2 linked regions of the Macaca fascicularis genome follow. The protein of the gene in region 2 purifies or fractionates together with the protein of the main gene of each other region. This does not show direct contact. Links are inferred from orthologs where the notes say so. Each region holds a gene or a part of one and is shown on either strand. Other genes may lie near its edges. The genes, in order: PFN1 and VASP.

Region 1 (4,155 bases), on a different chromosome or scaffold from region 2:
CCCAGCCCATGTGGTTTTGGCAGCAATAAGGGGTATGGGGTAATGGCCTAAAAAATAAAATGGTGTATGTGTGTATGGGGGAGGAAAGGGGTGCAAAGCTGTGGGGAGCGGTGAAGGGGAAGGGACAGACGAGGTCAGTACTGGGAGCGCCGAAGGTGGGAGGCCATTTCATAACATTTCTTGTTGATCAAACCACCGTGGACACCTTCTTTGCCCATCAGCAGGACTAGCGCTGGAGGAGGAAAGAGAAAGGAGGCTAGGACCCAGGTGTCACAATTCCACCCCCTGCCAGCTGTTCAGCAGCTGTCCAGCCCTGGGGGCTGTAACCCAACCTCATCTCTCCCAACCCCCCCCAACACACACACACAGGCAGGCTGTCAGTCACCCTGAAACAATAAGGCTTTTCAAAAGAGGAAAATCAAGCTTAAATGCTGGAGAGGAACAGACTAAAAACTTAGGGGTCAAAGGCTCATAGACTGTTGACTCGTGTTCAGGCTAGAAAGGGCTGTGGATGAGCATGCCACCTCCAGGTTCTAACAAAAGAGCTCAAACGATTAACTAGATGATGATTCAGGACCCCAAGAATCTACCTATACTCCTAGAAAACAGTTTCTAATCCGAGCTCAAGGCAGGAAGTAACTTAAGAGGTAATGCAGTTCAACAACTTCGAATTACAAGATGAGGAACTGAGACGGAAATGGAGGGACTATCCCATGTTCCATCCAGCATCCAGCAGACAAGGGGCAGAATACTGGTCTGACTGCCTTCATGCTGGGGAATCACACAAGAAAGCACCCTCAAGATTACCAGAAGGCGGTACATGAGAGATCTTGACGCTAGAGGAATGGTAAGACTCAGGAACTCACTCTTGTCAGTCTTGGTGACAGTGACATTGAAGGTGGGGGCCCCACCGGTGCTCTTGGTACGAAGATCCATGCTAAACTCCCCATCCTGCAGCAGTGAGTCCCGGATCACCGAACATTTCTGGCCCCCAAGTGTCAGCCCATTGACGTAAAAACTTGACCGGTCTTTGCCAACCAGGACACCCACCTCAGCTGGCTGGAAGAGGAACCAAGCGCCCATCAAGTTAGTCAGTGCACCAAGATTCCCACCTTGTTCTCCAAAGACCCACCCCGCGAAGTTATATACTCAGTACCCATCAATAAACTGTGAGAAACTCTGAGGACTGTGGAACGTTAGTGCAGAAAACGATCATGATTCTCAAACCTAGAATATGGGACTAGGGAGGAAGAGATGATATACTCCTCTAGAGATTTAGATCTCAGTGTTAATGGGGGAAAGTAAACCCAGGAAATAAAGGGAATCAGTGATAAAAGTGAGGAGTCTTTGGATGCTCAGAACTCTCCTTCAGGAAAAGCAGAAGCGGAGAGGGGAAGGGAGGGGGGCGGGCGAGGCAAGAGAAGCAACTTTGCCCTTATTTGGTCAAAGGTTCTGCAGGAGCTCTTAGGGCCCGGACGCCTGGGTCTCCAAGTAACCTAGTTTAGCTCCAGGTATGTCTGCCCTGACAAGAGGAAGCAGACCCCTGGGGGCTTTCCGGGAAAGTTGGAAAACTTCTGAAGGTGGACGGGGGCTAGACCCGGCAAGTCAGCTCTCGGGTCTAGGTACCCCAGGAACCTTTTCCCCCCTCCCCCTTTCACCCCAAGCCCCCACATCCGGTTCCCTCCCGCCCGGAAACCCCCTTCCCCCCCTTTCGAACTTCCGCTCCCCCTCCCCACTTCCGGGCAGTGTGGACAGGGAGATGGTGGTGGGAGCAGCGGTAGTCAACTCATATTCTTTCGCTTATGCTGTCTCAGAACTTCTCACAAAGTTCCCCTGCTCCAGGCCCCGCCGGATGGCGGGAAGGGAGGGCGAGGGGACTTCCGGGATTGGCCTCGCAGGAATGTTGAGTCCAACGTGCTGAGCTGGGGGGGCGTGTGGTGGCCTCGCCCTCTCTAACGGAGTTGGGAGGGGCCGGGAGTCCACAGAGGGTGGGCAAGGGACCAATACCACGCGCCTGGGGCTCCCTCCCGCACCAGGGGAAACAATGGTAGAGGGGCGCGAGCTGGCGGCCGGACGGGGAGCTGGGGATTCGAGGGTCCCCGGGTCACCTCTCAATCCCAATCCCCAATTAAAATTGAGGCGCGTCCCCACCCCGCCCTGGGAGAGGCGGAAGTGGGCCGCCGCACCGGGCGCCGCGCCCCTCCCCGCCCTGTGCCCCGGATGTAACGCCCCGTCGCGGAAAGCGGGGTAGCGGGCGGGATGGGCGCCGCCGCCTGGGGCATACGACTTAGGAGCAACCGAGGGACCCGCTCACGTGCAGCCGCCATTCGCGCCGCTTCCAGGACAAGCACCCAGTCAGGGCCTCTCGCTGCGCGCTCTAGACCGCGCCCGCCCCCACCCAAGTCCCTCCCACAGGGTCCAAGCCCGACCAGTGCCCCGGACCGCAGGCCTCGCAGTACCGTGATGTTGACGAAGGTTTTCCCGGGGACGGCGGCCCAGACGGAGGGCGAGTCCTTGTAACCCACGATGGCCGCGTCCTGACAGGTCCCGTCCGCCATGAGGTTGTCGATGTAGGCGTTCCACCCGGCCATGGCGCTGCTACTGGGGCTGCTCTCGGCGCTGCTGCTGGGGCCGCGGGCTGGGCACGAGCTGCCTCGGCTGGCGGGCGGGGGGAGGCGGAGAGCTCGAGACACGCGCTGCCGTCCGGACCGCGGCTCTGCTCGCTGTGCAGCAGCCCTCGCACCGCCACTTCCTGCTCCTCCCCCCCGCCCCGCTAGATTTTTATTTGCAAAGGACGGTAGGGGCGGGGCCTACTCCCCATTCCCTCCCTCCCCCACTCGCCAGCCCAGACACCGAAGTTTGCAAATGCAATTTTAAAAATCCCTCCCCCTATTGCAAAATTTGCAGAGTTCGATGGAAAGCAATGTAGAAAGATGGGGGGTGGCGGCAGAGAGGTGAAGGGTAGGGTTTGCTCCAATTTGCATTGAATATAAACCAGACTTTGCTATCGGGGCAGGGAGTGAGCCAGAAGGAAGGAAGGGAAGAGAAAGGAGGAAGAATTAGCAAGCCGCAAATTTAGCAAATTAAGGAGAGTTCGGGGAGTCCAGGGTTAAACGGGATGACTCCTCCTTCCCCCACCTCCGCCGAAGGGAAGGACCGGCGGGCGGCGGCGCGTGTGCCCGCGCCTGCGCCTGCGCCAAGGCCGGGAGGGAGAGCGCATGGGGCGGTCCGGGCCGGAGCCGGCTGCACGGGAGCGCGCCCGACCCGACCCCTGTGGACCCTCCGGGAAAGGAAGGCGGGCTGGGGACGTGTCTCCCGCCTGGCGGAAAGGGCGGGGGCGAAGCCGTGCACGCTGCCGCCTCACCACCCTTGATTTTACTTATTCAATAGGAAAGCAAAGGGAGTTTGGCCAAATACCCTAGTCGCTCTCATAGCTGAAGGCACCCACCGGGGCCACTTCGGTCCCCAGCGTCTTCCCGGGTAGTGCAGGTTAGGTTCACCAGGGCCCATTCTCAGTCCAGAGGATTGTCCCTTCTCTGGATCGGCTCTAGCCCAGGGCCTTATCCCATATCCCAGCCGCGCCCGCCCCGGGCAGGCAATGTCTGGATCACCGGCCGTGCCCCTTGGCCTGAGTCTGCAGAGGTCACTGAGCGCGGACACCCGCGGGGCTTAACAGGCGGGGCTATTTTTCGAGGCGGAAGAATACTCAAGTTGCAAGAGTGGCAACTTTTTCAAGAAGGGGAAAGTCCCACTTCGGGCCCTTTGGGTTTCTTCTCAGTCAGATGTGCGCTCGCCGCCACCTGGGGAGGGCGGGGCGGCCGGGTGGCGGCCGAGGTGAAGCCGTCTTCTCCGACCCGCCGCCGAGGGCTGGGCCGCTTCCGGAGCCTGGGTTAGGGGCGCGAGGTCACGGAGCGCGGCCCGGGCGGAAAGGGGCTTGGTTTTCTCTCTCCTCCTCCCGAGTGCGGCGCGCATCCCTGGCGTCCACGCCGAACCCCACAGTCCCCGACGCCCCTCGAGCCCGTGTTCCTCGACAGCCGCGCGGCTGAGTCACTGGCGGGCTCGGGCGGGGCCGCACCCGGGCACGTGGCGGCGCTCCCCGCCCGCCATCTCCTGACCCCTGACCCGCCGCACCCCCACCCCAGGGTGGAAAAATCC
Region 2 (3,803 bases):
CATCCTGGCTAACATGGTGAAACCCTGTCTCTACTAAGGACACAAAAAATTACCCGGGTGTGGTGGCTCACGCCTGTAGTCCCAGCTATTCGGGAGGCTAGGGCAGGTGAATCGTTTGAACCCGGGAGGCGGCGGTTGCAGTGAGGCGAGATCACGCCACTGCACTCCAGCCTGGGCGACAGAGCGAGACTCTGTCTCAAAAAAATAAAAAAATAAAAATAAAAACAAAATACAAAAAAATAGCTGGGCATGGTGGCGCATGCCTGTAACCCCAGCTACTCAGGAGGCTCTTTTTTTTTTCTGGGATGAAGTCTCACTCTTGTCCCCCAGAAGAATCACTCAAACCCAGGAGGTGGAGATTGCAGTGAGCTGAGGTTACACCACTGCACTCCAGCTTGGGTGACAGAGCAAGACTCTGTCTCAAAAAAAGAGCCAGGTATGGTGATGCACACCTGTATTCCCAGCTACTTAGGAGGTTGAGGCAAGAGGCTCACTTGAGCCCAGGAGGTGGAGGCTGCAGAGAGCCATGATTGTGCCAGTGCACACCAGCCTGGGCAACAGAGCAAGATCCCGTTTCTGGGGCGGTACCTACCTATGTCTTGATCTGGGAGGTGGTTTGCCAGGAGTGTGCCTGTGTAAAGTTCATGGAGTACTGATCCCTGAGTAATTATGCATTTTTTGTGTGTTTGTTTTCTTTTTGAGAAGGAGTCTTGCTCTGTCGCCAGGCTGAAGTGCACAGTGGCACGATCTCGGCTCACTGCAACCTCCACCTCCTGGGTTCAAGTGCTTCTCGTGCCTCAGCCTCCCAAGTAGCCGGGATTTCAGGTGCCTGCCACCACGCCCAGCTAATTTGTATTTTAGTAGAGACGCAATTTCACCATGTTGGGCAGGCTGGTCTTGAACTCCTGACCTCAGGTAATCCACCTGCCTCGGCCTCCCAAAGTGCCGAGATTACAGGCATGAGCCACCACACTAGGCCAATCGTGCATTTTATGCATAGGTGTGCACGGGCACACTGGAACGCACAAAATCCTCATGATAATTTTCCATGATAGCAATGAATTTGCTCCATTTTACCAATGAGTAAGCAAAGTCCCAGAGTGGTAAACCGGCAGCCTGAGGCCACACAGCCGCATTCAGTGGTCCCCTTTGCCCACCCACTGCCCACCGCTGTTTCTGACCTTCCAACGCCTCTAGGGCACTGGCCATGCCGGCAGCAAACTGGGCTGCATCCTCCTTGCTGCCGAAGTTGAGGCCCCAGACCTGGCGGGCGTCGCGCCACTGATGGAAGTTGGGGGTGGCCTGATTATACTTGACGCCCCGGACGATGGAACAGTTGATGACCACCTGGTGGGAGGGGAAAGGGAGGGTGAGGGGTGGCAGGCGCAGGGGTGGGGCAGGTAGGGGCTGAGCCCGCAAAGAGGGGCCTGCGGGAAGCTGTACCTGCTGGTCGGGCTGCATCTTCCGGCCCACGACGCGAAAGGAATTGGCCGTGGGGTTGTGGTAGATCTGGACGCGGCTGAAGGCCTGGGGACCTGTGCCAGCAGGGAGCCATCGCTTGTTGCCGTCATCATAAAGCATCACAGTGGCCCGGCTGGAACAGATGACCGTCTCGCTGCAGGCGGGAGGAAAAGGGAGAGGGGCCGGTCACCTTCTCATCTGGGTCTCCCTGGGAGATTCCAAGGGACAAAGACAGAGTGTGGAAGGAAGAGAGTGAGGGAGGCAGGAGCCAGGTGGACAGAAAGAGAGCGGGGAGAGAGATCAGGAGAGAAAATCAGACCAGGAGAGACGGACAAACACACAAACGAGACGTAAGACAGACAGACACAGGGAGGGAGAAACTGGAAGTGGAAGAGACAGATGCAGAGAGAGGTGGGAAAGGGAGAGCTGGGTTGACAAACGGGAGAGAGACAGACTGAAAGGCAGACAGACAGACAGATGAACAGATAGGGGAGGGGAGGGGAAAAAGGATGGGCAGACAGCGGACCTGGAGGAAAAGGCAGAAAGACATAGAAAGAGATCAAGATGGTCTTGGCATGGTGTCTCACACCTGTAATCCCAGCACTTTGGAGGCTGAGGCAGGAGGATCACTTAAGCCCAAGCATTTCAGACCAGCCCAGCTGCCCAGCTAATTTTTGTATTTTAGTAGAGACGCCATTTCACCATGTTGGGCAGGCTGGTCTTGAACTCCTGACCTCAGGTAATCCACCTGCCTCGGCCTCCCAAAGTGCCGAGATTACAGGCATGAGCCACCACGCTAGGCCAATCGTGCATTTTATGCATAGGTGTGCACGGGCACACTGGAACGCACAAAATCCTCATGATAATCTCTAATAATAATTACTTTTAGTTTCAGTTTTGTTTTTGAGACACAGTCTTGCTCTGTCACCCAGGCTGGAATGTGGCCTCGATCTCCTGAGCTCAATTGATCCTCCCACTTCAGCCTCCCAAGTAGTTGGGACTATAAGCATGCACCACCACACCCAACTAATTTTTTTTTTTTAGACAGTCTCACTCTGTCACCCGGGCTGCAATGCAGTGGCATGATCTCGGCTCACCAAAACCTCTGCCTCCCAGGTTCAAGCCATTCTCCTGCCTCAGCCACGTGAGTAGCTGGGATCACAGGCACGCACCACCAAGCCCAGCTAATTTTTTGTATTTTTAGTAGAGACAGGGTTTCACCGTGTTGGCCAGGCTGATCTCGAACTCCTGGGCTCAAGTGGTCCATTTGCCTCAGCCCCCCAAAGTGCTAGGATTATAGGGGTGAACCACCATACCCAGACTACAAAAAAAAATTTTTAATGAAAAATAAAAAACACAACACAACAAAACTAACAAGAAGGAAAAGATAAAGATGGAGGCTGGGCACGGTGGCTCAGGCTTGTAATTCCAGCACTTTGGGAGGCCGAGGCGGGCGGATCACGAGGTCAGGAGATCGAGACCATCCTGGCTAACAAGGTGAAACCCCATCTCTATAAAAATACAAAAAATTAGCTGGCGTGGTGGTGGGCGCCTATAGTCTCAGCTACTCAGGAGGCTGAGGCAGGAGAATGGCGTGAACCTGGGAGGTGGAGCTTGCAGTGAGCCAAGATCATGCCACTGCACTCCAGCCTGGGCGACAAGTGAGATTGTCTCAAAAAAAAAAAAAAAGATAAAGATGGAGAGACAGGCTGAGAGGTGTAAGAGGCTGAGGCCAACGCCGGCGGGGAGGGATGCAGGTTAGCAGAGCGAGGGCAGGAGGGAAGACAGAGGGGCCAGAAGGAGGCCAAGAGCCCAGAGTTGCACTAGGGACCAGCCCCTGCCTGGCCTCAGTTTCCCTATCTCTACCAGCAGGCTTGGACATGCCCCCACGCCACCACTGCCTGCTCAGGAAGAAGCTGAGACTTGGAAGGGGAAGTGTGGGGCCTGCAGTAGGTTGGGGATCCATCCCAGACCTCTGAGCTCTTCCTCCAAAGGGACTTCCCGCTGCCCACCCATCGCCTGGCTCCCCAGGGCACTAGCGGCCATTCCCCAGATACTCCCTGCTCCGTGTCTGGCCCTTGTTGGGTGGGGCTGGGGATGAAGACACAGCAGTGACCCAGACAGCCCCGGCACCACCCTCCTGGGGCTCACAGTCCAGTGTGGGAGACACAGCTGTCCCCAGACGGTACCAACCCAGGGATAGGACCAAAGAGCCCAGGGTCTGGTGGTGCCCTGAAGGAACGCCTGCCCCAGCTGGACAGTCGGGCAGGACTTCCTGGAAAAGGCAACATCTGACTCAGCCTGGGCGGGAGGTGTCAGTAAACTGGTGCAGAGTTCAGGAG

Evidence for each region.
Region 1: the proteins of VASP (region 2) and PFN1 purify together in Homo sapiens (affinity purification with western blotting; 3 studies listed by BioGRID and IntAct, with this or other methods). This does not show direct contact. The link is inferred for Macaca fascicularis from reciprocal best matches to the Homo sapiens genes VASP and PFN1.

What each region holds. Positions count from the first base shown.
Region 1 is NC_088390.1:5,064,424-5,068,578, forward strand, and holds PFN1 (profilin-1), read right to left. Parts: upstream 2,755-4,155; 5' UTR 2,592-2,754; coding exon 2,460-2,591; intron 1,060-2,459; coding exon 658-1,059; 3' UTR 643-657; downstream 1-642. UniProt on the Homo sapiens protein: Binds to actin and affects the structure of the cytoskeleton. At high concentrations, profilin prevents the polymerization of actin, whereas it enhances it at low concentrations. By binding to PIP2, it inhibits the formation of IP3 and DG.
Region 2 is NC_088393.1:53,578,445-53,582,247, reverse strand, and holds part of VASP (vasodilator-stimulated phosphoprotein), read right to left. Parts: intron 1,616-3,803; coding exon 1,444-1,615; intron 1,348-1,443; coding exon 1,182-1,347; intron 1-1,181. UniProt on the Homo sapiens protein: Ena/VASP proteins are actin-associated proteins involved in a range of processes dependent on cytoskeleton remodeling and cell polarity such as axon guidance, lamellipodial and filopodial dynamics, platelet activation and cell migration.